Coturnix japonica: one gene and its partners. The protein of the gene in region 2 binds, or shares a complex with, the protein of the main gene of each other region. Links are inferred from orthologs where the notes say so. Each region holds a gene or a part of one and is shown on either strand. Other genes may lie near its edges.

The links.
Region 1: MED8 (region 2) and CCNC share a complex: the UniProt entries of both Homo sapiens proteins name them as parts of the mediator complex. The link is inferred for Coturnix japonica from reciprocal best matches to the Homo sapiens genes MED8 and CCNC.
Region 3: MED8 (region 2) and MED12 share a complex: the UniProt entries of both Homo sapiens proteins name them as parts of the mediator complex. The link is inferred for Coturnix japonica from reciprocal best matches to the Homo sapiens genes MED8 and MED12.
Region 4: MED8 (region 2) and MED23 share a complex: the UniProt entries of both Homo sapiens proteins name them as parts of the mediator complex. The link is inferred for Coturnix japonica from reciprocal best matches to the Homo sapiens genes MED8 and MED23.
Region 5: MED8 (region 2) and MED13L share a complex: the UniProt entries of both Homo sapiens proteins name them as parts of the mediator complex. The link is inferred for Coturnix japonica from reciprocal best matches to the Homo sapiens genes MED8 and MED13L.
Region 6: MED8 (region 2) and MED18 share a complex: the UniProt entries of both Homo sapiens proteins name them as parts of the mediator complex. The link is inferred for Coturnix japonica from reciprocal best matches to the Homo sapiens genes MED8 and MED18.
Region 7: MED8 (region 2) and MED31 share a complex: the UniProt entries of both Homo sapiens proteins name them as parts of the mediator complex. The link is inferred for Coturnix japonica from reciprocal best matches to the Homo sapiens genes MED8 and MED31.

Annotation. Positions count from the first base shown.
Region 1 is NC_029518.1:64,955,311-64,958,810, forward strand, and holds part of CCNC (cyclin-C), read left to right. Parts: intron 1-645; coding exon 646-713; intron 714-1,041; coding exon 1,042-1,121; intron 1,122-2,483; coding exon 2,484-2,602; intron 2,603-3,106; coding exon 3,107-3,161; 3' UTR 3,162-3,500. UniProt on the Homo sapiens protein: Component of the Mediator complex, a coactivator involved in regulated gene transcription of nearly all RNA polymerase II-dependent genes.
Region 2 is NC_029523.1:17,388,685-17,392,810, reverse strand, and holds the start of MED8 (mediator of RNA polymerase II transcription subunit 8), read left to right. Parts: upstream 1-1,326; 5' UTR 1,327-1,406; coding exon 1,407-1,412; intron 1,413-3,352; exon of another isoform or gene 3,353-3,370; coding exon of another isoform or gene 3,371-3,376; intron 3,377-3,837; coding exon 3,838-3,956; intron 3,957-4,126. Other genes in the region: KICSTOR complex protein SZT2, read right to left, coding at 1-155, 758-931, 1,038-1,163, 1,297-1,326. UniProt on the Homo sapiens protein: Component of the Mediator complex, a coactivator involved in the regulated transcription of nearly all RNA polymerase II-dependent genes.
Region 3 is NC_029519.1:2,315,195-2,318,694, reverse strand, and holds part of MED12 (mediator of RNA polymerase II transcription subunit 12), read left to right. Parts: intron 1-288; coding exon 289-518; intron 519-963; coding exon 964-1,044; intron 1,045-1,267; coding exon 1,268-1,441; intron 1,442-1,778; coding exon 1,779-1,923; intron 1,924-2,824; coding exon 2,825-2,943; intron 2,944-3,093; coding exon 3,094-3,237; intron 3,238-3,500. UniProt on the Homo sapiens protein: Component of the Mediator complex, a coactivator involved in the regulated transcription of nearly all RNA polymerase II-dependent genes.
Region 4 is NC_029518.1:51,936,080-51,939,579, forward strand, and holds part of MED23 (mediator of RNA polymerase II transcription subunit 23), read left to right. Parts: intron 1-287; coding exon 288-431; intron 432-1,311; coding exon 1,312-1,457; intron 1,458-2,009; coding exon 2,010-2,255; intron 2,256-2,450; coding exon 2,451-2,593; intron 2,594-2,966; coding exon 2,967-3,141; intron 3,142-3,500. UniProt on the Homo sapiens protein: Required for transcriptional activation subsequent to the assembly of the pre-initiation complex. Component of the Mediator complex, a coactivator involved in the regulated transcription of nearly all RNA polymerase II-dependent genes.
Region 5 is NC_029530.1:10,498,891-10,502,390, forward strand, and holds part of MED13L (mediator of RNA polymerase II transcription subunit 13-like), read left to right. Parts: intron 1-743; coding exon 744-876; 3' UTR 877-3,500. UniProt on the Homo sapiens protein: Component of the Mediator complex, a coactivator involved in the regulated transcription of nearly all RNA polymerase II-dependent genes.
Region 6 is NC_029547.1:21,930,463-21,934,037, forward strand, and holds MED18 (mediator of RNA polymerase II transcription subunit 18), read right to left. Parts: upstream 2,266-3,575; 5' UTR 2,153-2,265; coding exon 2,080-2,152; intron 1,914-2,079; coding exon 1,360-1,913; 3' UTR 501-1,359; downstream 1-500. UniProt on the Homo sapiens protein: Component of the Mediator complex, a coactivator involved in the regulated transcription of nearly all RNA polymerase II-dependent genes.
Region 7 is NC_029534.1:8,576,507-8,580,591, forward strand, and holds the start of MED31 (mediator of RNA polymerase II transcription subunit 31), read left to right. Parts: upstream 1-1,285; 5' UTR 1,286-1,446; coding exon 1,447-1,456; intron 1,457-2,657; coding exon 2,658-2,735; intron 2,736-3,325; coding exon 3,326-3,422; intron 3,423-4,085. UniProt on the Homo sapiens protein: Component of the Mediator complex, a coactivator involved in the regulated transcription of nearly all RNA polymerase II-dependent genes.

The DNA of each region.
Region 1 (3,500 bases), on a different chromosome or scaffold from region 2:
TCCTTTCAGCAAGAAAGCGAGTGTTTAACAGTTATGCCTCAGAGATGGCTTAGCAGGCTAAATAATACAAAGGGTATACTAGTTAACCTATGCACACGTGTCACTGGCTTAAATTATTGTTTTTAACCCTGTAATGGTTTCTACTTTGAAATGCTCTGGTTTTTATTTTTAGAACAGCTCCAATAGCACCATTTTTACACTGTTAAATGTCGACTTTGTGTAGACACAGCTATCTTTCTGTTAGAGTCAGCTTTCAGTAAAAGCAGTACATGGTTCTGTTTCTTAGACTGGTAAAACAGAACTCCTTAAACACTTTAATTGTTTCTCCAATACAGACAATAAAAATACTACCTTTACTTTTGCTTCAATTTGCTTATTTGCGGAGCAGGGATAATTAATTTATGGTAGAAGAGAACACACTCTGCAGAATGGCACTGATGATGTTATAATAGTGTTTCCAAACAGACTTCTGCAGTGATTGCAAGGAAAACAATGGTTGTCTTTAATAGACTTTTAAAGAGGAAGAGATCTCACTTTCTCTATTTTGCCCTGTATACTCTTTGTTTCTACCACATGGGTAACTGGCAAAATGTTTATGAATCATGTAGTCTAAAGGAGTTGTTATGCTCTCTTTGTTTTGCACAGGAGGATAGTGAATGACACGTATAGAACTGATCTTTGTCTGCTGTACCCTCCTTTCATGATAGCTCTAGGTAAGTAACACAAGTAACGTCACTGTCACCTTTAAATAGATGCCTTCTGTACTTTGTCCCATCAACAAGTTTTCCTTAGTACGCTCTCTTAAGCTTCTCCAGTTTATATTTCATACAGTACTGACAGTATAACCTTGCAACTTAGAAAGCCTTGAAGAAAAATCAGGTAATTAATCCCCAGATTTCTTCTTTGAAAACTCGCTGAGATTTTTTGCAGAGGAACTGAGGAACTCCAAACACCATAGAAAAGTACCTGACTTGGAGAGTATTTCTAAGTGTATTAAGAGATACTCAACAATGATTCACTCTTATCACCTGATCTTTGCAGCTTGCCTACACGTGGCCTGTGTTGTCCAGCAGAAGGATGCGAGGCAATGGTTTGCTGAGCTATCTGTTGATATGGAAAAGGTACTCTCTTTTTACCTCCTGCCCTCTGCTATGGACTGACTAGAAATGTTAGCAGTGGTTTGAACCTGTTTTGCATGTGTGTGATACTGATTTGAACTTCATTCAGCAATCGCATTACGGACTATTGAAATTAGGTAGGAGATAGGAAATGTCAGGTCATTTGGGTATCACTCTGCACTGAAAGACAAGACATAAGGGCAGAGCATTGCTGCTGTTGCCATTTTACAGACTGAAATAGAAAACCAGTATCTTGTTTGTTTATTTAATTTTTTTGCTAGAAGAAAAAAGAATTCCCAATATTTATTGCTCAAGATTGAACAGTATTCTAATAAACAACATATGTTTGACATGTAAGGTTATCATAGGCTTGGTGTTGAATGTGTTTGAATGTTTAAACGTTTCTGTTCCCATTACCAGTGATTACATCTAAGCTTGATTTTTTTTAAAAAAAATTAATTTTTAGATTATTATTATTATTTTTAACCTTTAACACTATGGAACTTCATAGCCAAACATAGTTTCTGGTTCAAGGATGTATATTGTTCTAGCATTTGATCAAAGTCCATAAACTGGAAAGAAGTTTACTTCATTAATTTAGTAAGTGGCGAAACAAATAATGAAGCAAACATGGTTTGATTTCTGGGTGGCACTTTGTGAAGCTGGAGTTGGACCTGATCCATGTGGGTCCCTTGCAAGTGGGGTTATTCAGTATTTATCCACCTTCTGTGTAGAATATTGCACTAGAAAATTAACAGGAAATTAATGTAGCCTCCAAACTGGTAGAGAATATTTATACTTCTGGAAATAGAGTTTGAAAATTCAACAGTTCTTATTATAAAGTATTGAGACACTTCCTAGCTCTTGATTTTTTTAATTTTATTTTTATTATTATTTTGGAAGTAAAGAATTCAGGGCACCGTTGGTTGGTTTCATTTGTTTTTAGTACTGTGCCCCCATGGCTGGTATAGAACACAGACAATAATCAGTTACTTCATTTGTAATCCGTAATCATTTAGCAACAAACACGTTGCCAAGTGTCCTTGTTTTCCCAGTAGCATCAAATATAAGCAGCCGTTCGACTTTGGGAGGAGAAATGGTTGATAAAGTGGGAGGGAAATGGAGTGGGAGAGAGAGATATTGGTTCTGTCAGGCTTCAGTTCAACAGTTAAGCCAAAAAACTCTTTGCAAAAATGGTTGATTGCCAGACCGGATTATATAGGAGACAGCTCTGTTTCTATCATGAGAATTATGCTTCTTAATTTGAGTTTGAGAAATGGATAATTAACTGTACACTGCAAATGATGATATAAATATAAAAGTCACTATTGTGATTGACCTAAAATGTACTTTCTTTCAAATCAGATTTTAGAAATAATCAGGGTTATTCTGAAGCTGTATGAGCAGTGGAAGAACTTTGATGAGAGAAAAGAGATGGCTACTATCCTTAGCAAAATGCCTAAACCAAAACCACCTCCAAACAGGTACCATACCTCCATTATTTACTGCACCTTTCATATGGGAAAAAATAAAGTATTATCTTATGTGCTATGTTAAGTTTGAGGCATAGTGTATGACTGCACTGCCGGCTTTCCTCTAAGTACCCAGTCAGACTGTTCAGGAGGAGAATATTTGCTCTTTCATGGAAAGCAGTAATGTAGTTAGAATCTGATCAATACAGTTTAAAAGGAGCAGTGTGAGGCCTGATGAAAGGGCACGATTCTTTAGAACAGTGCCTGTTTGATGTCATGTTTAATTGCTGTGATTAAATATCATTACGTGGAATCTGCACGTGCAAATTCCTATGTGTGAGCTTCTGTTATGGGAACTCTGAAACGCTGATTTCAGGAGTGAATTCAGAATGGAGTTGCATTGGAATATTTTGAAATCGCTGTTCAAATACATGAATAAATGTTTTCTGTTTGCAAAAGACAGAAATGCAGTACGGTGCTGCTGTTCTGAGACGTGTTTCTTTTCCTTTCAAACAGTGAAGGAGAACAGGGTCCAAACGGTAGCCAGAACTCTAGTTATAGCCAATCTTAAGACATTCCAAAGAACTTCTTTACGGACCACTTTGACTCAAGACATCCTGGGATCTTTCCTGTGTTCATGAAATGGACAGAATTTTTTTAATACCATCTTTGACAAAGAACTTGAAGAATAAATAGCTTGTTTGTGTCAAGCATTTTGGAAGTTTATTCTTTAAAACTGCATCATTTTCTCTGACGCTGGAGCAAATGTACTAAGATTTCTCAGTGTAAGGAATCAAATGTTAAACCAAGCTGCAGAAGGGTAACACTGTCCACTCAAAACAAGTAGTTCATTACTGGTTTGGTTTGCTTTGAGAAAATTGTGGCTTGCCATTAAAAGTGATTTTTATAT
Region 2 (4,126 bases):
CCAATGATGGAGGAGTACGCCTGGATGGTGACAAAGATCTCGGGCTGATAAATAATGTCTGAACCAGGGATTCGGAAGGGCCTTAACAATCCCACTAAGCATCGGGAAAGAGCATGAAACACTTCATCAAAAATGATCTCTCCTGTTGAGTCATCCTACAGAAACAGAAGAGGAGAATTATAGAATCATTATAGCTAAGATTACCTTGTCCAACCATCAACCCATTCCCACCACACCCACTAACTGCACCTCACATCTCCACAGCTTTTGAACACCTCCTCAGTCCTTCTGACCACACTAGTTCTGATACAAGCCAGGATGCCTTCTTGGAGACCTGGGCACACTGCTGGCCCATGTTCAGCCAGCTGTCAGCTAACACTCCTAGATCCTCTCCCTCCATAAAGCTCTCAGCCACAGCCCCTAAATCAGCAGCACTGCATGGGGTAAACAAAACAGCTTTTACATCTTCTGGAATCTGCAATCTCATTGCACCCACCACACAGAGACAAGTACAAGCCTATTTCTGCAACAGCAGCTGCCTCAGAACGACCCCTGCAAGCAGAGGTCACACATTCTGCAAGGAAACAGGATCCACTGCAAGGCTGTGTTGCCAGCAGCAGTGCCTGCTTCAGCCCTCAGGAACACAGGACCCCTGCAGGAGTGACCACTAATGCAGGGACACACATGTTCTCAGCAGAGGGAACCAAGCCTGGTCCTTTAACACAAAACACCCCAGAGAGGCAGCTCCTGGACTCACCACGATGCCAGTGGAAGGGCTCAGATCGAGCTCAATGACAAAGCGGTACTGGCGGGCCAGGAACGTAACGCGCGTGGAGGGCACCAAGAGGTAGGGCCGGGGCTGGACGGGCTCATCCGGCTGCCATCCGTTGGGCAGGATGCTGAGCACATCCAGCTCGTTTTCTGACTTCAACTACAACAAGAAGCGAACGACAAGCATGAAACATTACTCCAAGCCAAAGGACACGCCGAGATGCAGGGCCACCATCCACCCTGCAGCACCCCCGGCCCCCACTCACCAGCTCGGGCTCGGGCACAGCCCAGATGACCTGGTGCAGCCGGCTGAGCACCCAGGCGAGCCGCACGTTGCGGGAGATGCGATAGTCCTTCTTCATCAACAGGAAGACGTGCCCAGCCTCCTCCACCTGCAGCAGAAGCACAGCGCCTCGTCACTCCAGGCCGGGCACCACCACAACCCCCGACCTCTCTACACAGTTCCCGGTCTCAAAGCCGCAAACAACCCCGCCTCCCCTCGCCCCGCAGCGCGTTACCCCTCACCTCAGCCTCGGGCCTCTCGGCAGCCGCCATGTTTGCCCGGCGGCCCCGCCCCGCGCCCTCTGACCTGACTCGGAAGTGGAAGGCTGCCATAACAACAGGGCCGCGCAGCCATGCAGGTGAGGGGCTGTATGGGGTTGAGCAGGGCTGTATTGGGCTGGGCTGGGCTGGGCTGGGCTGGGCTGGGCTGGGCTAGGCTAGGCTAGGCTAGGCTAGGCTAGAGGGAGCAGTAGGCCCGTATGGGGTTCCGCTGTGCCCCGTGGGCCGGGCTTTGGAGGAGTAAAGCAGTGTGCCCAGTTGTTCGAGAAGGTCTATGGTATCTTGGCTCGTGGAGGCTCAGTGTATCCTATAGGAGCGGGGTGGTGGGCGTCCCTCTGTGCTGACATTGGTTGAGGCCGCATCTCGAGTGCTGCGTTCTGTTCTGGGCCCCTTAAGCAAGAAGGGCATTGAGACCTGAGCGTGTCCAGAGATTGCGACAGGGAAAGTGAGGGGTGGAGGCATTACAGAGAGCAGCTGGGGGAGCTGGGATGGTTCAGTCTGGATAAAAGGAGGCTCAGAGGGACCCCATGACTCCCTTAAACTCTCCAAATATTTACAATGGGGTGGAGGTCGGCCTCCTCTCCCAGGTAACAGTGACAGGATCCCTTGCTTTCCTAATAAATCCCATTATTACTTTGATTTCCTCGACTTCTTGAGCCTCAGGCTGATGTTTCCCTGGGTTACCCTCGGATAATCCTCAGATCTTGTTTGTGAGTGATAATGTTATCAGCTCAGAGAATGTCATTGTGTGTGTGTAAAGTCAGGGTTGTTTATTTCTCTTTGTTTCATTGTGTGTATTGCTTTATGTTTATTCTGAATTTCACCTTTACCTCCCAGTCATTCATTATCAGGAGTTCCTTCAGCAGTCTCTCCCGTAAATCCTATTTTATTACCCTGGGACAATTCAGTATTGTTAACAGACTCCTTGAATTGCTGCTTGTATATGTCTGTGAGAGGCAGAGTATTTCTTTGAATCATTGATCTTGGTGCACGTGTGCTTTGCGGTGCTTAAACTTACTTCCAGCTCTCATGGAGAGAGCACACAAAAGGAGGAGGCTCAGACTGCACTGTCACACAGTGTAGTGTGATTTCATTCACAATCTTTAGGGCTTCTTGGATACGCGCTGGCAATGGGCCACACCAGTTGTCTTGGTTGTGTGTACCTGCCACCTCTGCAGTGAGATACTGGCTCCCAGCCCAACTCGTAGTGCTGTCAGTGGTTCATCTTGCTCAAACACAACGTGCACAGTCAGCGTTAGACTTGTTTCTTAAGTGCACAGGAACAGACTAGTCCCATCACAGGATGGCGGAGAGCTGCAGTGCTGTAGCTGTGAGTTGTAACCCCGTGGTTTGCTCTGTTAATCCATGCTGTGGATTGGAAGTGGATTTTAGCCACATTTATTTTGCCATTTCTTCTAAGGTAGTGAAGTCTTATCAGCAGTCTATGGAAAAAAAAACAAAACCTTTATAGTCTTGTCAGACCGTGAGTAGAATAATTTCATGTTCTCTTAAATGTGGAAGATACTTGATGATCTCATGCTAGTTTCAGTTTGTTTAAACAGCACAAGGATCCCAATAGTGAGCGTGCAAGCAGACTGAGTCACCCCATCTGCTTTCCCAATCAGCATTCCCTTTCTATTATTTAACTGTATTGCTGTGTCTCACCCTCCTCGTGGATTATTGTTGTACAGTCCTTGACTTACATTAGCAGTCCATTAGGATTGGGGCTTTAATTACATTTTGTGCAATTCTGTTGAATGAGTAAGAATAGATAAGGTTCTAGAGGGTTTTCGCAAGAGTCGGAGATATTCTGTGCTATATGTGACAACAGGTCTCCTCTCCTATTGCTTTGTATGTCACCATACTCCTCTCAGCTAGGGGAGAAGATTATTTAAGCAGTGCACCAAGGCAAAAGGCAGCAGGTGATCTCTGCATGTGTCTAACTACGTCACTGACACTGCAGCGCCTTCCACAGCTGGTAAGGGACAAGGAATTTTTAGGAGCTGGATGCAGCACCTGGACAGGAAGAAAGTGAGAGATGAGGGTAAGGGCAGAAACTGGAGTCTTTGGGCCACTGATCTGATACTTGTTTTGCAAATGGCTGTGCTGGGTGAAGACATCACTGTGCCTGCTGTCAAAGGGTGCTGAGAATGCTAATCTGCTTTCAGCTGGGTTAGCATGAATAACTCACGGAGGTGGTGCAAGGTAACTTTGATGACTTTGCCTGATGCAAGTGATGTATAGGCTTTACTTATCTAGATCTTAAAAATGACAGCTAGCCATGGGTTGGCTCAGGTACGAGTCTCTTCCTAAATGTTTCTTACAAGGAGACAAGATAAGTGTGAAAATGTAGGATTTTTATCTACGTGGTCTCTGTTTCCTTGCCTTGAAGAGGAGTCTCTCCATAGGAGAGGGTGGAATATGGTTGCAGATGTATGGATCCCCACAGTCCTTGGAAAGGTACAAAGCTTTGTCCTCACCCCTATCTTTCATTCTTTTTTTCAGAGAGAGGAGAAGCAGCTGGAGCTGACCCTGGAGGCACTCATCAGCCAGGTGGCTGACCTGAAGAACTCATTGGTCAGTTTTATCTACAAGCTGGAGAATGAGTACGATCGACTCACATGGTAAGGCATCCCACAGAGACAGGGCACTGTCACTGATCGCTGCTGAAGCTCTTCTAGACTCTGCCCAAAAAGTGTAATTAAAAGCCACTAACTTGCTCTCCACAGGCTTACCTTCACTTTTCATGTTAACGTTGGTGAAACTACTGAGTATCTCCCACCCGAAAAACAGT
Region 3 (3,500 bases), on a different chromosome or scaffold from region 2:
ATTCTGAATGATGCGGGGAACTGTGTGTTTGTATACCCAGGGATGGCACTTTCAGTCTAAAATCCTGTACCTCTAAATGGAAAGATTTTCACTTCTTTATTTGCCACCTGTTGAAGGTGGGCTTTCTGGTTCTGACTTCTGCTGCAGTCTCAGAACTGTGTATCAGTCACTTAGAGTATTGAGATCTCTAGAAATGCTTTCTCTGTGGGTGTAGGTGTGGTATCTGCTGCTGCTCTTAGTGTTACGGAGGAACTCTGATAGCACTGTCTGTCTTTGCTCTCCTTTCAGCTGATCCTGGGAAGGAGAATGAGAAGGTGGAGTTTTTTAACCTGGTGCTGCTGTTCTGTGAGCTAATCCGACATGATGTCTTCTCTCACAATATCTACATGTGCACACTCATCTCCCGGGGTGATCTTGCCATGGATTCTCATGGACCTCGTCCTCCCTCACCCTTTGATGACCCTGCTGAGGAGCATGACAGGAAGGAGACAGAAGGAAACAGTGGGATCAAGCTAGAGGTGAGAATACAAGATACGCAGCTCTTTTATGTGCTTCCTCTTGTTCTGCTTCTCCACTCATACCAGCTTTGCAGACTCCTTGCTATTACTTGCTGGAAGATGGACCAGTGACTCATGTTTCTCATTTCCCCAAGCTATTTCCTTAGCACTTCAGTTGCAAAAGTAGAGGCTTGTGTTCTAAGTGGGTAGAAAGGTCTTGCAGAATGTAACAGGGTAGACAGGAAAATCTTACTCTGAGCAGCATATCAAGTGCTATGCAAGGCCAGTCTGTGTTGTCAGGTGTTTGCAGCATATGTGATTCTGGCTGAGTTTCGTTTGCCAGGCATCATCCTTGTTGGCAAACTGCTGTCACTGTCCAACATGGAAGTGGGGTGCTGCAGTAAATGAGTCTTGTCTTGTTTCCTGGTGTATTATTGAGATGTAAAGCTGCTCTGTCTGTTCTCAGGACACGGGTCTCTCTGAGCCTATGGACATTGACCACAATTCCAGCACGATCTTTGATGACATGGAGAAAACAGATTTTTCGGTATGTGCTTGCTGTTTTGCCTGCTACTCATAAGTAGATTATGTTGTGCTAGCACCAGGGACATGTGTGGGTTCTCCCTCTCTACTGTAGAGCTGATATGTTGGAAGTGTCTAACTTGTAAGGTAGCAGACACTGTGAAAAGTTCTTCTTGGCTTCTTTCACCTGTCTTAATTATGGCATGACCACGTTCCCTAACTGATTTGTTGTTCTTGCACCTTCCTAGATGTTTTCTCCTCCAATGCATTGTGAATCTAAAGCCAGCCCTTCCCCTGAGAAACCAGATCTTGAAAAGGAAGCAAAGCCTCTGCTGAAGGACAAGTCTGCAGAAGGAATGCTAGCATCTCTGTATGACCAGCCTCGACACATCCAGTATGCAACACACTTTCCTATTCCTCAGGTATGAGACCTGCTCGTAACCCTTTTCCTGCTGCTGCCTTGTGCTCTGATAACCAGGCTGCTGTGTTTCCCTGCAGCACTACTGTAAGCATGAACCTGACTGAACAGAGTTGAACCTGATCTCTTTCTGTTCTGTTACTGTGGGTGGGTGAGGAGTGCAGTCATGTTTTTCTGCATTGCTGCAGGAGAGTGATCTACTTAAGACACCTCTTTGCTTACTCCCAGAGCAGCTTCTGAGATGAAGCTTTCTCTTTGCTTTTATGAGATCCAGATGTGAAACAAGATTAAAGTATTCAGCTTGATAGTTGCTAATGCAGTTCTTTCTCTTGGTTCCCCAGGAGGAATCATGCAGTCATGAATGTAACCAACGGTTGGTAGTTCTTTTTGGGGTTGGAAAACAACGGGACGATGCTCGGCATACAATCAAGAAAATAACCAAAGACATCCTAAAAGTTTTAAACAGAAAGAGTACTGCAGAGACAGGTCAGTATTGCTTGAGCCAGTCTTTCCAGTTGACTGCCTCCTTTGTCTGGAGTCTCACAATGAAAGGATTTCATATGATCTGCAGTGCCTGGTTGGCTGTATCAGTCACTGACTGTCTGGGATGGTGCTCTGTTCTCAAATAATAATGAGCAGCGAATAAGATTTGTTTCCTCCTGCCTAGATGTGTTCCATTGAATCTACCTTCTTCGGTAGGTGCTTAAGTCATGTCAGTTTCAGAGTGAGACCCTGGCGAAAATCGTGGCATTTTCAAACTTTATTTTCTTAAGCTCTACCATTTAAATCTTTGCACAAAAGCAGCGGGAGCTTTGCCTGTGAATGTTAGGCAAATACCCTGATTCAGTGTAGTGTGTGCTGTTATGCTAAGCATGCTGGTTAGGGTGGCAGGTTTGGATAGTTGTGTCAATACTGCTAGGAAACCTCTAATTTCTATTGATTGAGAATCTGGCTTCAGGATTTTTTTTTTCTTTTTGTTGGCCTGATTCTTGAAAGCCAACTTGAAACATGGTGTGATTCTTCAAAGGTGGCATGCTCTAACAGGCTTCTGGGCTGAGCCATCTCCAGTCCAGAACAACTGTTCTCACCAGGGAGTCAGTGTTTCTTCTAAATGGGGGGGAATATATTTTCCCCCTTCACTCAGGATAAGCTAGATGTTAACTGTGCTGTCATTCTTTGGCTAGAAATTCTTCCCTTGACAGTTTATTGTTGTGAATTCATAATGGTCCTTATCAGCTTACAGGTGGAGGATCAGGTTCTTTGGCCATGCTGCTTGGCAGTGTCTGGTCTTGCTGAGGGCCTGGCATGTGCTGATGACTGTTTTCTATTCCTCTTCTGATGAGGAAGGTAGCCTGATACTATTTTCTAGTCCTCTCAATTTTTGTAGGTGGAGAGGAAGGCCAGAAGAGGAAAAAGAGCAAGCCAGAAGCATTCCCAACAGCTGAAGATATCTTTGCAAAGTTCCAGCACCTTTCTCACTTTGATCAGCACCAAGTCACATCTCAGGTATGAAACCTTCAAGACTGCTGTCCTCTTTGGGCCCTGACTGAATCTCTTTGTGTTACTGAGGACAGCTTCCTGCAGGGAAGAGGTGTTGGGGCTGCTGAGGGGCTTCTGCAAGGGGAGATAGCACAATGTGTCACCTTACACTTGCAGGTATCCCGCAATGTCTTGGAACAGATCACCAGCTTTGCCTTGGGCATGTCCTACCACCTGCCTCTGGTACAGCATGTGCAGTTCATCTTTGACTTGATGGAGTATTCACTCAATATCAGTGGTCTTATCGACTTTGCCATCCAGGTAAGCACAGTGCTGAAGTGTTCCCTGGGGAATCAGTTCATCAGCCTGAAAGGCAGGAGATACGTGCTGTGATAGCTGGGCTTCTGTTAGGGTTCTCTGACCTGTGTTGTGGAGGTGGTCAGAACTGATAGTCATTGCAGTTCTCCTGGGCTGCAGCTGTTAGGAATGGGTTGTTTGCAGCAGATAGTCTTATGTGCCCTGTTGGAATGATTATTCTTCCAAAGGTTTTCAGGGTTGTTTCCAAAGGATTTACATTGCACCTC
Region 4 (3,500 bases), on a different chromosome or scaffold from region 2:
GCTCCCCAGGGAGGTGGTTGAATCACCATCCCTGGATGTGTTTAAGAGCCATTTGGATGTGGTGCTCAGGGATATGATTAGTGTAGGGCTTTTAGAGTTAGGGTACTGGTTAGGCTGCGGTTGGACTAGATGACCTTTAAGGTGTTTTCCAGCCTGGGTAATTCTATGATTCTATGATAACCTCTGAAAACTGGAACCATTTTAGCTTCCTCTTTTAACGGTATCTTTGCAGTGATTTTTTTTTTTTTTGCCTTCAGCATTTGTCTGTTATTGAGTGTTTTTGACAGTTGGCAGGCCGTGGCCTCATTAAAGGAAGAGACCATCTGATGTGGGTGCTACTGCAATTCATCTCTGGCAGCATCCAGAAGAACGCACTGGCTGACTTCCTCCCAGTCATGAAGCTTTTTGACCTTCTTTATCCCGAGAAAGAAGTAAGTCTTCTCTTTTATTATTATTCAGCGTGACACCTTTGTACACAGATATTATTATTGTTCTTCAGTTGATATTGCGTCAATGTGCTGTGTAGTTGGAGATGCATATAATTAAATGAAAGATTTCCAGTGCTTCCAGCTGTGTTTTTTCAATAACCATGAGCAGTGTTTTAGTTGTTTTGTGTTTTTTTTTTAACTTCAAAACAACAACAAACACAACCAAAGTCTTAAAGTCATGTGTTCCCTAAGTTTTGTTTGACTAAGGTTTTGAGAAGGTGTTTGTTAGAGCCCTGAGAATATACTATGGAGGAATAGTATACAGATTCATTGTTACATCTGAGAATATATTATCAGATACTTTTAGGTGCAAGTAAAATGAACAAGGCACTTTAAATTTGTTTAGTATTAATGACTGCCTAAAATTCTTTCTGTAATCTTAAATCAGTTCCTAGTTGTGCTTGGTATGTTCTAGAATGAAGGTTGTTGAGGTAGGGGAGAGTTAGAGGAAGTTATTAAACCTCCACCACAACAGTTATATCATCAAGATATCCTCATTGTTTGCTTTTACAGTGTCTTCTGTTTTGGGTCAGTAGATAAGTTAACATAAATGTGTGATATACCAAACTGATAAGGTTGAATGTACTGTTTTTTTACTCCTAGCAAAGTTTTTTGACTGACAGAAATTCTGTAGTACAAATTGTTTCGTGACCTCACAAGTGTTTCATTAGCGCAAACTATGAGAAGAGTGACTGCATTGGTTACTTTAACTGTAGTGATGGGCTTTCTTCAAGTTTATGTGGTACTTTGTGAATACTGGCTATGTTGTTTTTCTGTATATCAGTACACTCAACATCATCACTTTGATTGTTCTCTTCTTCAGTGTATTCCTGTACCTGATATTAACAAACCCCAGTCCACTCATGCTTTTGCTATGACCTGTATTTGGATTCATCTGAATCGGAAGGCACATAGTGACAACTCCAAGTTACAGATTCCCATTCCTCATTCTCTTAAGCTTCACCATGAGTGAGTTCTGTTGTTTTTTTTGTTACATTTTGGTTTGTTTGTAGACATAATGGAGTAAGAATCTTTGAGTCTATGTTCAGAAGGCATTGTGTGCTGAGATGTTGTATGAGGGTGATTAAATAATTAAAGCAGAACTGAGATCTTGAAGTAGAAATACTACATAAAGAAATCATTATACGTTAAAGGAAATTAGATTACATCTAAAAGGGATAACTCTTAAATTCTGATGGAGATTCAGAAAGAAAACTGATTACTTTGTTTTATTATGCAATGTGTTGGAATGTGTGGTACATTACATGTTTTTTCTGAAAAAGTCATTTTTGAAGTGTATTTTCCTTTCCTTTCAGAAGAAAATGCAGCCTGAGCAGATTTTTCTAAACAATGATTAGAGTTGTGGCAGCTCTAGTTATTTGATGCAGTGCAGTTGATAAATACTTTTTCCCATTATTTTAAAATGGATTTTTTAACTGGAATTATTGTGGTTCTAGTCCTTGAATCATACATGTACTTGCTTCTTTCTACTTAATGTTTGATGTGTTTTTGGTACTCTAGGTTTTTGCAACAGAGTTTAAGAAACAAAAGTTTACAGATGAATGACTACAAGATTGCCTTGTTGTGCAATGCTTATTCAACCAATTCAGAGTGTTTCACTTTGCCAATGGGTGTCCTGGTAGAGACTATTTACGGAAATGGCAACATGAGGATATCTCTTCCAGGAACTAATTGCATGGCATCAGGGTCTATAACCCCCTTGCCAATGAACCTCTTGGACTCGCTCACAGTTCATGCCAAAATGAGGTAGAGTATACAATTATACAAACATACAATTATACAAATACGGCTTTACAACAAGTGAATCCTTATGTAATTAATTTACAGTATGGAAATATTCCTGTGCTTGAAAATGCTATGTATAGATCTCTTGCTTTATGTCTTAAACATTGTAACTTGTATGTGTTTGTTTTTGACTGAAAAATATTTTCTCTTCCTCAGTTTGATCCATAGCATAGCTACAAGGGTTATTAAGCTGGCTCATGCAAAATCTAGTGTGGCCTTGGCTCCTGCTCTTGTGGAAACCTACAGTCGCTTGCTGGTTTATATGGAAATAGAGTCCTTGGGCATCAAAGGCTTTATCAGTAAGAAAAAAATAAACTCCCTCACCTCAACCCTTCCCTGCTCCTTTAGTTCAGTAGCACGTACAAGCTGTTCTGTATTTAAAAAATAATAATAATAATAAAATAATCTTAAGCAAAGGTTCTAAATTGGGAAGAAATTATATTCAGTTTAACTCCTTATAATACAGATATCAGCTGTTAATGTTCATTTGGAAGATTGAGCTCTATACATGCATGGCATCATAGAACACTGCGTGTATGTGCTATTTGTAATTAATACAACACTCACAAATCAAATGTCTCACTGTAACCATCTGTCAGCAGTGGTGTATCTTGCAGTTACATTTTGAAGCACAATCTCTTGGAAAACATATTTTATGAACTTTTTCCTAAGGTCAGCTCTTGCCAACTGTGTTCAAATCTCACGCCTGGGGAATTCTGCACACTCTGCTAGAAATGTTTAGCTATCGAATGCATCACATCCAGCCTCACTACCGAGTCCAGCTGCTCAGCAATCTTCACTCCTTGGCTGCTGTGCCACAGAGAAATCAGAATCAACTTCATCTGTGGTAAGTGATGGTTACCATGTTTAGTTGTAATCACAGATTTTTTTTTCCTTCAATGTACGTTGAAAGTTGTTTAAGTACTATAATACATTTGAAACAGGATGCAAGTACCTCCCACTCTTAGTTCTGTGACTGTGGTGTTTTGTGGAATCTCAGCAGGCTGCGTTTTGGAGCTACAGTTAGATGTTAGTAGGAGTAGTCTGCAGTTGCAGCAGTCTGTCTCAGACATGGCAGCAGTGTCACAATCAAAAACAGTAACATGCATCAGCGCCATCATGTCAAGATATGTCAGAAAACTGTTGAGCTCCTTCCACAGGAGGAAAGGAGCAATGCAATGCCTGCTGCTTGTAGTCACAGGGACT
Region 5 (3,500 bases), on a different chromosome or scaffold from region 2:
CTGATACCCTCTATCTTAGGAGATGTAGTATAAATGAGACACTTCCTGAATCAACACAGCACTGTTATCTGTCCCAGTGCAGAAGATTAGTAGAAGACTATTTGCCTCCATGTCACCTGTTGGGCACTGAAAAAAAACTTTTATGGGACAGCATATGAGGTCAAACACACCAGTGCACAAATGTGTACATTGCTACCACACAGAGAATATCAATAGGAAATATGAACTACTACTTAACTCAAGTAGATGATACTATGCAGTATTCTAGATCTGAATTTGCATCCTCTTGAATAAAAAGGTGATGCTTTTGGAGGTGCACAAGGAAAGAATGAGGTGCAACAAACTCAGATTAGAACATAAAGAATTCTAGTCAGGCATAAGGAAAAATAATTTCTTTTTTTTCTAAGTTGTCCTCAGAGATGTCCAAGAATCAAGTTTTTTAATACAGTAGTAGACTAAACCTCCAGAGGTTCAGTCCAATATGTAATCCTTGCTATTTAACAGGAGAGGCCTACACTCAAACTGTATGTCAAGTACAAATAAGCTAAGAACAAAAATTTCCCCCCACCTCTACCTGCACGCACTTTGTCCTCACTTTCCTACTTTGCGTGCACCACCAGCATTAATATAGTCCCTTCCACATCGCATCATCAGGGGAAAAAAAGGAGATAAATTTAAGTAAATCTAGAAAAAATGAGAAGTAAAAACTCCAGTTTCATTTTCCTTGCATTTCTCTTTCACAGGTTCGTTTTGGAGCAGTATAATGCACTGTCTTGGCTTACGTGTAACCCTGCCACTCAGGATCGCAGCTCCTGCCTTCCTGTCCACTTTGTGGTGCTCACTCAATTGTACAATGCCATCATGAATATACTTTAATAGATAGAAAAGCACTTGTTCTTCTGGCTTATTCTCCCCTCAACGTGAGAAACGTGCCACAGTCTGCAAAGATCACAGTTTTGCTTCTCTTCAGACCAGTCCTGTGCTGTGCTTCTGTTCCTCCAAAAGCACATGTGAATTCTGCAGTGTTGAAAACACCCATTAACATCTCTGGCAGCTTCAATCCAATTCTGGGAACATCCGAGAACAATGAACACAGAGTAACCTCAAGTCGGCGTTAGTTTGGTGGCCCAGTAACTACTGGTCAGTCTGATTTATTTTTATTTTTATTTTTTAATATTATTTTATTTTTTTAAGGAAGACTACAGTATCTTTTTGGATTAGGAACTCTGCTGAACAACCGTAAGCAGTTTCAGCCCCACAAATGAAACCATCGTGCAGTGACCGCTTTGGGCTGTCCAGAAGTTCTTTGTTCTTTGGTCATCATTAACTGGGACTTGGCAGGAAAAAAACCTACACACCATCATAGTCTCGTATGAATATTGCAATTTTCTGTCTACCTGGAGTTCCTGTCAGAGTGGATTGGGATGAATGCATGCATTTGTTACCTGTCCATGTAGATATGAATGGTCTGGAGATATTTATTTTATTTTTAGGTTTGGGGAGGGGAGGGATTAAATTATAAAGGACCAGGAACAGTAGGATATCTTAAAAACCCAGCTCCGTTCCACCTTAGGGTTATTTATCTACATACCTCTCGCTCTTCTGACCTAGAAATCGAAAAGCTAATAACAATCAGAGTCCCACGTGGGAAGGGGAGCATGTCCTGATAAGGATACACTTGTGTTTTAAGGAATTCTCACCTGCATTTAGCCTGGTTAAAGTAAGGAAAGACCAGTGTTTAATGAAGGATAACACTACCTAATGGAAGAAGAGTAACTGAGAGGTAGGGAGGAAAAATACTTTAAAGTTCTTTAAAGGGCGAAAGGAAAGTGGTAAATTAATCTATTGTAGAGCTATGATTGAAATATATTTCCAGTAAATTTAGTGATACTAGAAAACTATTTACTGAAACCCAGGTCGCCCTGTAATTCTGGGCAGACTCGTCCGTGTACATATCCAAAAATGTGCTTTTTGTTTACACGAAATCAGTTACAAATCTGGTGTATTTTTTCTGACTTATAGGAATATTATTTCAAAGAAATAATTTTAAAAAGAAAATTATATCATTAAATTAGTACTTGAAGTTCTGCCGCTGCGGTGGAAAAGTTACTTTGTTGAGTAAAATGATCGCCATTTGAAAGGTCAATGGCTAATTGAAGTATTTTTATGACTCCTTCATTCCAGGCTCCGAGGGGTTTATATTTAAGCTCCTTTTTTCTGATGTTTGCTGTTGCAGTGTGCAGCAGGCACGGGCTGCTGTGTGCGAGGGGTCGGGCACTTTGATCAGGCGCTGTGACCTATAGCTGTCTATCGGCGGGGGAAAAACCAACACGTTGTAAAAGTTCTTCCAAAAGACTTTCATGTTCTGGTGGGAAAAAATAATAATAATAATAATAATAATTAAAAAAAATGAAATTCTATGATTTTAAAAAGTATTTTTCTTGAGATAATGTAAACATTTAAAGCAAATGATATAAGAATCGCTTGTGTCATGGAAGGGTGAAGTCAGAGAAGTAACCTGTAAATGGATGATGTCGTTCTCTGCACCGAACCTCCCGTGTGGGTTATCCTCTTTGCAATGTATAGGTTAAAAAAAAAAAAAATCTGATATCAAACCATTTGTATCTAATGTGTGTACAGTGTAAAATTGACTTTAAAATATTGCAGTACTATTTTTTCTTAATCAGAAGAGAAAATTCTCAAGGCCTTTTGAAGAGCATCAAAGATGAAGATTGTAAACTTGTATAAAAAAAAAAAATTAACTTGGGGAGGAAAAATGTAAAGTAGCCATTTGTAATCTTTTACCATTTGGGGGTTATTTGTTCCCAAGATTCATCGGGACTTTGGATTATGATTGAGTTTGTTCTTTTTAAATGGGTCATTTTTTATCTAGGGGCATTTCTTCCCCAGAAACCTGGTTCTGTGCAGACATGGAAAATCCAAAAGGGCAGCGAGGAGTTAGTTTTCATCTGGTGTCTTTTATTTAATTTTTTTAAGTTAAGAGAATCTGGTGACATATTTATACGTTTTTGTGCAAAATAAATGAATGGCAATAGATTTTAAAGAAAAATCTTATGTACTTCAGTGTGAAAAGTTCTGTATAATATTTTCCTTAAATATGCATTATTTTACTTGTGAGTTTTTTACTGAATTAATCTGAAATGTACCAAGCCCTGGCTTTCCTACAGAGTGAAGAAAGTTATTTTATTTTTTCTTTTTATTTCTAACTTTGGAAATTCATGGCTAAATCAGAATTATTATTACAGTTGTTTGAGCTAAAGGGAGAGGGAGGGGGGGAGGGACGGGCGGGGAATGTCCAGCATGCTTGTATGTATATTTCAGAACTTTTTTTAAATGTCAAAGCTGTACATTTCTGGGGAGTTCTGAATTTCTTTGGGGGTTTTGGTTTTTTTTGTTTTTTTTCTTGTTTTTTTTTTTTCTTGGGTTTTTTTTTTTTTTCCTCTGAGCATTTTGCAGTGAGCTTCTTTTCTATCTAGCCG
Region 6 (3,575 bases), on a different chromosome or scaffold from region 2:
CCTTGGGTTGTGTCTGAAGCTGTATGCCGCTTCATACACATACACTACAGTGTATGTAAAGCACTTAGCAGAAAGCAGCTTGACTGTGTTACCGAGGTTGCTGAAGTGAAAGCTGGAATATCCACATAAGCTGTTGATGTGTGAAACGTCTCACCCTGCACTCGCATATCAGAAGCATGTTAGACAATATAGAGTGCTTCCAAAGTTGTACTTCAGCTTCTGTGTTCATTTGTACAGAAATAACAACATTAGGGGAGAGTGTGTGGGGAGAATGGAGACCCAGGGCTGAGGAGTGCTGGAGATACAGCAACATTCGTGCTGTTAAAGCATGACAGCGACTGACAGCAATTGGTGTGTTTTAGTAAAAGGCAGCGTGGTTGTACGTTTCCATAATGATCTTGAGAAATGAAGACTACTTCATGTTTGCCCAAAATACTGGCTTGTATTGAGTGAAAAAGAATTGCAAAGAAAATACAAAATTAATGCAAATAGCTGACGGGTATTTTTGAAGATATATTTTTAATAAAACATACAAAGAGCACAAAAACACAGAAATAGTGGGATGCCTGACCTTGCTTTTGTGAAACTAATGCATCGTGCTGGGCTGATGGAAGTGGCTGTAAGCAGGAAGGAGCCTCTCTGTGCAGCCTGCTCCACGTCACCCCCAAATGAAGCAGTAATTCCTCACTTTGAGATGGACCTTCCTGTGTCCCAACACTGGGCAACAACAGTCAAAGCCTGGCCCCATCCACCTGACTCTCTACAGGCACATTCGGGGGCACTGGGCTCAACTTTCTGAGCCAACATATTGGCTGTGAAGGGTCTTAATTCTGTTTCTTCCCCCCAGGTTATAATTGCAGACCCAGAGCTTCCTGTTCTACACTAACAACAAAGCTGCTTCCAATAACAAACAGCTCCCAGTCTGGATTTGCTAGGAGGGAATCTTTCAGGTCTTTCAAATCTAAAACTAAGCAATTCCTGCAACTACTCCTTTCAGACATCAGGGACCGACTATCCAATGAATAATGCACTAAACAGACTTTTATTCTCTTCCATCTCTGGGAATTACATACATTCTGCTCTTATGCATATATGTAACCTGCATAACCAAATACCAAATGCTGGCTGAGCATCAAACAAAAACAAAACCAATACATCAAAGCCTTTTACCCCTTGCTCCCCAACAACATAAAGTCAATATCTCTATTTATAAGTGTTGCACCTTAATACTGCTTACTGCTCCAGCACAGAGAGGAAGCAGTGGAGCCCTGAACAAAAGTTCTGTGTGCATAGGACTCCAACCAGTCCCTGCACTCACTTCTGGCTACAGCAATGCTATGATAGTCAAGCCAGTTTTCATCACATTAACCTCTTAGGGTCAATTTTTTCCAGGTGTACTAAAGGCTTCAGCTGCTCTGCAAAGTTCCTCATATCATCAGAAACCATATCCTGTCCGGCTGGTGCCACAACATTAAGCTCTACAAGGTAGGAGAGGGAAAGCGGCTCGATGCTGTCCGTGTTACCAGGCATCAAGATACGGAAGATCTTATACACCACAATCTTCATGATCCCCTTTCGGAACACGTGTCCCTTAGCCACGAACTCGTGATCCATACGGAACCCCATCTCCACCAGGAAATCCGTCAGGTTGTCCGAGGTGGCGATGTCCACACAATTTCGCACTAAAGCGTGTCGGTTTTTATCTCCGATCTCCGGCTGCCCCAGGTACCTCAGGTGCCATGGCATGCCGCTTTTATCCATGGATCGCCGGGCACGCAGCACGAAGGGGCTGGCCTGCTGCCCCTTGAGCAGGAACACCATCTCGTGGTCCAGGAAGGTCTCCGGCTCCATGTTGTCGCACAGCCCACGCAGGCGGTGCAGCAGGCTCTCCAGGCTCTGGTCCAGGACGCTCCCTGTGGTGGACACACACGGCTCAGACGATGGCCCCTTCCCCGCCGCAGCGCGGGGCCGAGGCAGGCGGCGAAGGGGCCTCCGCGGGGAGGTACCTCCCCTTCGCCGCCCGCCTCGGCCCCACGCTGCGGCCGAGCCCCGTGTACAGCCCCTGTGTGCCGGCCATACCTTGCAGCAGGTACTCCATCATGTTAATAGTGCCGCCCGTAACGGGCATCATGGTGACGGGAGGCGCCTCCATCTTGGCGGCTGTGGTAAAGATGGCGGCGGGAAGAAAGGCAAGGCCTGAAGGAGGAGGCGGGCGCCACAGTGCGGCCTGGCGGTGAGGAGCAGCCGAACATCGACCAGCTCCCTTTCCTCCTCACAGACATCCAGTTATTCATCCCCAAGCACACAGCACTGCCCCTTAAAGGCAGATGTAAAGAAGGCATCGAGGAACTCAGCCTTCTCCTCCTCAGAGAATCCCAGCCTTCTCCTCAGTGATCACGTTCCCCGCTGCATCAAGTAAAGGTTGGGCATTTTCCTTGGTTCTCCTCTTACTTTGATGTACTTGTAAAGGGATTTTTTTAATGTAACGGCTTCTGCAATACCAGGTGAGAAGTGCTGGTATCACAGACCCACTTCAGTCTTTAATACTGCACTGTATGCTGGACAGTTTTCCTTAACCTTTTGTTTGCTAGGTTATTTCACTGCATCATGAGGTAATCTGAAAGTATCACAATTAAGCCAGTAAATCTAGGATTATTTTACTCAAACTGAAAAAGAAGTTCTGTACCAAAATGTACACGACTTAGTCATAATACAAAATGTTAATTCTACAGCCAGTTAAATCCATCATAATGAACGTTGAGCCACTGTTTATTGTCAGTACAGCGTTACTTTAAATAAGCTCACTGAGTGAACACAGAAATAAAGTAGATCTTCCTCAAATAAAGTGACAGCTATTAACAATACTCCAGGAAGATGTGCATCCATGGTATTTGCATGCTGTCGTAGCATATCTAGCATGTAGTACGTCTTCATGCTTGCACAGCAGCTTTGTGAGCTCATTACAATAATGTTGATTTGGTGATGCACTACAAGACAACCCATATGACTTACATTGAAGCTGAATTTTAAAGAGCACCTCTGCTAGACACCCGTTTAAAAGCTCCACCACATTCCTGTAGCGAACACATCTAGGCCAAACCACTGATCTGCCACCACCTCTGCCCCCTAAGAAGATCATCAAGCACATGAACAGTTCTCCTCCCATGATCAGCTGGACAGGGTGATGCTGACAGCAACCTTCCAGAAGGTGAATCAAACCAGAACACGCCTGTGTTTTCTATATTACATTAAGAACACCTGAGACTGCTTCACTGGTCCAAGTACAGAATTTTAATACAAAATCTGTTGCATTAACATGACATTTCACTGAATTCCCTTAATTAGTACATTCCATTAAAAAAAAAAAATCTTAAAATAAATATTCCCCCTCAAAAAAGTTTAAAAGGAATTAAAGCAAAAAATAAAATAAAACAAAAAACAAAACAACCCCAACCCTGTAGTATTACAGAACAGTGTGATTTTCTGACTTCATTTATCTCAGTGTAAGCAGTAGATTCACACCTCTTCCTGGGGAATAAGTGTCAAACACCGAGAACAAAAGATAGTTTGTAATA
Region 7 (4,085 bases), on a different chromosome or scaffold from region 2:
GCTCTCAAAATGCATTAGGAAAACAAGGGTTCAGCACCAGTGCTCAAACAGAGAATAGGGTTAGCAGTTCAGCTCCTATAAAAAGTGAAACTGAGGCAGTGATGTTATGATTTGATGATGATAAAAAGGAAAATTCTTGGCTCAAACACACAGCTTAATACCTCTTCCCTGAAAGTCTGACTAAGCTAATATTTAAAAGCATAAATAAATCCAGCTTTTCCTAGAGAATGTTCTTAGTTTTTGTAATATGACTCCAACTTTCAATTTTGTTCCTAGTTTTGATGGCCAAGAATTGCGTTCTTGCACTTTACTCTGGCAAACCTACGTAGTAATTTAATTCATGTGACCAAGCCTTTCTTAGGATTCTCTCCTCTGAAGTCAGTCTTGGGAGATACATCGTGTTCCAGAATAGCACTGCCAATGCGTGGGATATGTTTGATCTCTGCTTTTAGACAAAAGTCTGTATTTACTGGGGAGTGACCTGCTAATTCTGTTATAGTAATGGTAGTACTCCACAACCACTAAAACCTTGGGGAAAAAAGAAACAAAACACAAAATTATTTTATTAAGGAAAGCAATGCAGAAGTCTTTTTTTAGGTGGTCTTATAGCCTAATTTCTATTGGGGCTGGAGGGGAACAGTTACACTACATAGAAAGAGATAGCACTACAGGAAAATGCTGAGACACTGAAAATAGTTTAACAAATCACAAATTTTAAAAAAGAATTAGGATTCGTGTTGAGCCTGTATAGTGCAAACTGTTACACAAGTGCCTAATAATGCAATCATAGCAGCAATGGAACTCAGGTAGCTTGACAGTGCTAAACCCCACCAGTCTTTGTTTTAACCAAGATATGAACATCCAGTGTGTGACCCCAGACATGAATGCAGCATTAGGAATAAATCTGCAACCTAAGTGCTGAACTCTTCTCCAGGTGCAATAGCATAGTGCTGTTCTGCACCCCTGGCGCATCTGTTTAACTGGTTTCACTACGACATAACTTCTTAATAAATAAACTGCAGAGGTTGTGTGAGATCAGCTCAGCATGAGCTGCCAGGGGGAAAGGGGAAAGGGAACGGGAAAGGGGAAAAGGGAAAAAGGGAAAGGGAAAAGGGAAAAAGGAAAAGGGGAAAGGGAAGAAAGAAAAGCACACACATGCCTAGGAAAAAATCCATCCCAGAACATTGCTCCTACAGGTACCTTCCAATCGTACTGCCTGTCTGGTAACAGCTCTCTTTCAAGACAAGGGGAAAAAAAGTTGCTCCAACTTTAGTTTATTTCAAAAGGTCATTTTCTACACAACTCGCATCATTAACGCAGCTCCTCACCACCACAGACCTTCCCATCTTGCCTCGTTGCGCCTCCCGCCTAACTCCCGCCTGCCGACAGCGGGCGCTCCCGCCGCCATTTTGAGGCCGGGCGGGGAGCGGAGCCCAGCACGCCGCCATGGACGCAGGTGAGCGGCGCGGTGCGGTGCGGTTCGGGCAGGGCGAGCGACTCCGGGCCACGGAGAGCGTCGGTGGTCCTGCCGTGCAGAGTTCGGGCGGTTCGGGAGCGATGGGCCGACAGGCTCCGAATCGTTTTCCTCGGGAGGGGCCCGGGGCGGTCCTGCTGCGCTGCCCTCCCGGCTTGGCCCTTCTCAGGCCGTTGGCCCCGTTGGGGCCCTTCGCGACGTTCATGGAGACACCGCGGCTCTTACCTGCCCGGACGCCATGGCAGCGGACATCCCACGTTGCATCTGTGGTCGAGGAGCTGAATCTTTTATAGACCCCGAGTGTTTGGATGGAGGGGACTTTATTTACAGATCGGACCTCCCGCCAGAGCGGCCTGCGCGGTGCCCCTTCCAGCCTTCCCTTGTGCAGCTCCAGGGATGGGGCCCCCACAGAGAGGGGCGGCCCGTGCCGGGGCCTCACCGCCCCTCGGAGAAGAATTTCTTCCTAACATCTAACCTGAGTTTCCTATTGTTTGAGTTTAAAGCTGTTCCTTCTTGTTCTGTTGTTTTCAGTCAGGGTGGAAAGTCAACATATTTTTCTATAAGCTCCCTTTCCACGCTGAAAGACCAGAGTGAGATCTCCCTGAGCCTTCTCCAGGCTGAGCAAGCCCAGCTCCCTCACCCTTTTGTCATAGGACAGCAGAATCTTGTGCTGACCCCTGGGTCTGTCATCAGTGCCTACTGTACACCAATAGTGTGAGAACACTGCAGGATTCTCACTAAACTGAGACATCTCTGTACAAAACAAACAAAACAAAAAGCAGCCTCACGGTAAGCATTTCTTAAATTATGTGCAAGGAGGCTTTCAGTGAGCTGCTGGTAGTGTTCTTTTCTTGCCTTCTTATATTTTCCTTGCACTAAAAGCAGGCCCCTTTCCCTTCCCTTTTCATATATTCTACATAAAGTGTCAGAGAGCATTTCTCCATTATTTGCATCGTTTTTAGTTGTTAAAAAAACAAACAAACAATAGTACATGTATTAACATGGGCCCAACACTTATTCATGTAATAGAAAAGACTGCTAGATGAGCCCATACTTGTGGGCTCTTGGTGCTTTATCTCCTCTCTAAACGTTTCTATTTTTGTGGCTCAAGTTGAGAAACTTACTTTTAAATCTGCCATGTAAGTCCAGTTTTTACTGTTTTTTTTTTTTCTCTTGTATTCAGATGATACAGGAAATCGACTTAGGTTCCAGTTGGAGTTGGAGTTTGTTCAGTGCCTAGCAAATCCCAATTACCTCAACTGTGAGTACTTAATGTCAGGGATCCTGAGAAGTTAATGTTATTTAACAGTTTAATGATTACGTGTAATGGTAAACTGTGTGTGTGTGTGTGTGTGTGTGTGTGTGTGCAGAGGCGAAGGGTAAACAAAGAAAAGGGAAGAGATCTTTAAGGAAAAAAGTAGTCTGAGGATAATTTAATTTGTCCGAATTTCAAAGGTGAGGTAGAAGAGGGAGGAGATGACACCTTTAAAATGTGAAATGATTATTTCTTGAAATAAAACACAACTGTCTGGTGGAGAATAAGTGCACATCTGTAGTAGAAAATAAATAATAATAATTACATTTCAATCTTAGAAGTACTCATATCTGAAACCAACATTTCACTAATGCTTATAATAGTTTCAGGTGGAATTCTTAATTTCTTTGGTTTTCCCTGACAGTTTTGATGTCAGAAGTTCCTATTTTTGAAGACATCGCATCCTTGTTGCTGTATAAAAGTTATATGCTAACTCACTATGCTTAACTTGTATTAGAGTGTTGACTTAAGATATATTTTTCCCTTTGTGTTTTTTTTTTATTGAGTTGTAAAAAATTCCTTGTCTCTTATTTCAGTTCTTGCACAAAGAGGATACTTCAAAGACAAAGCTTTTGTAAACTATCTTAAATATTTACTGTATTGGAAAGAACCTGAATATGCAAAATACTTGAAGTAAGTATTAAAAGCCCTCAGGTTTCTGCATTTTAATGATTTTTACCTTCTCTTATGCACTGTAAAGTAGCATGTGCATATTTGATTTCTCCCTGCAGCCAAAACATGCACTGTGTTTATATGCAGTATAAATTTTCCTGTTTCCTGTAGTCTGGGATAGGCACAATTAAAGAACGTTTCATTCTTGACATATGCATGGAATTTTCCATTTGCAACCTTTATCTGCACCTTCTATCTGCATAAAGCAAGATTACTGAACATCACGGGACAAAACTACTTCAGCCCATTAAGAACATTCTGAGAGTGATTTTTGCCCTGTTGATAGCTACACAAAGAATCGTTTTTTTTCATTTTTTTAATTAATGTTTAAACTCAGTTATTGAAATTTTTTTTGTTTACTTCAAATGAGCTCTGGAAAGAGCTATTTAATTAATTAGTTTTTGTTTTAATGAAATCTAGTATTTATAAAAGTTATTTTAATCAGCTCCGTGTATGTATTTATATTGTTATTGGATTCCCTGTTTTCTAGCCTTGTAGTTACTGAAGGTATTAAGTTACAGTGTATGGAAAAGGTACAGCGCTCACTGTTTCAGGTACTTGAGTAAGGCACTAAATGACTAAAATAATGGAGAGATACTGGAGACTCCAGTTCTAGTGCACCTT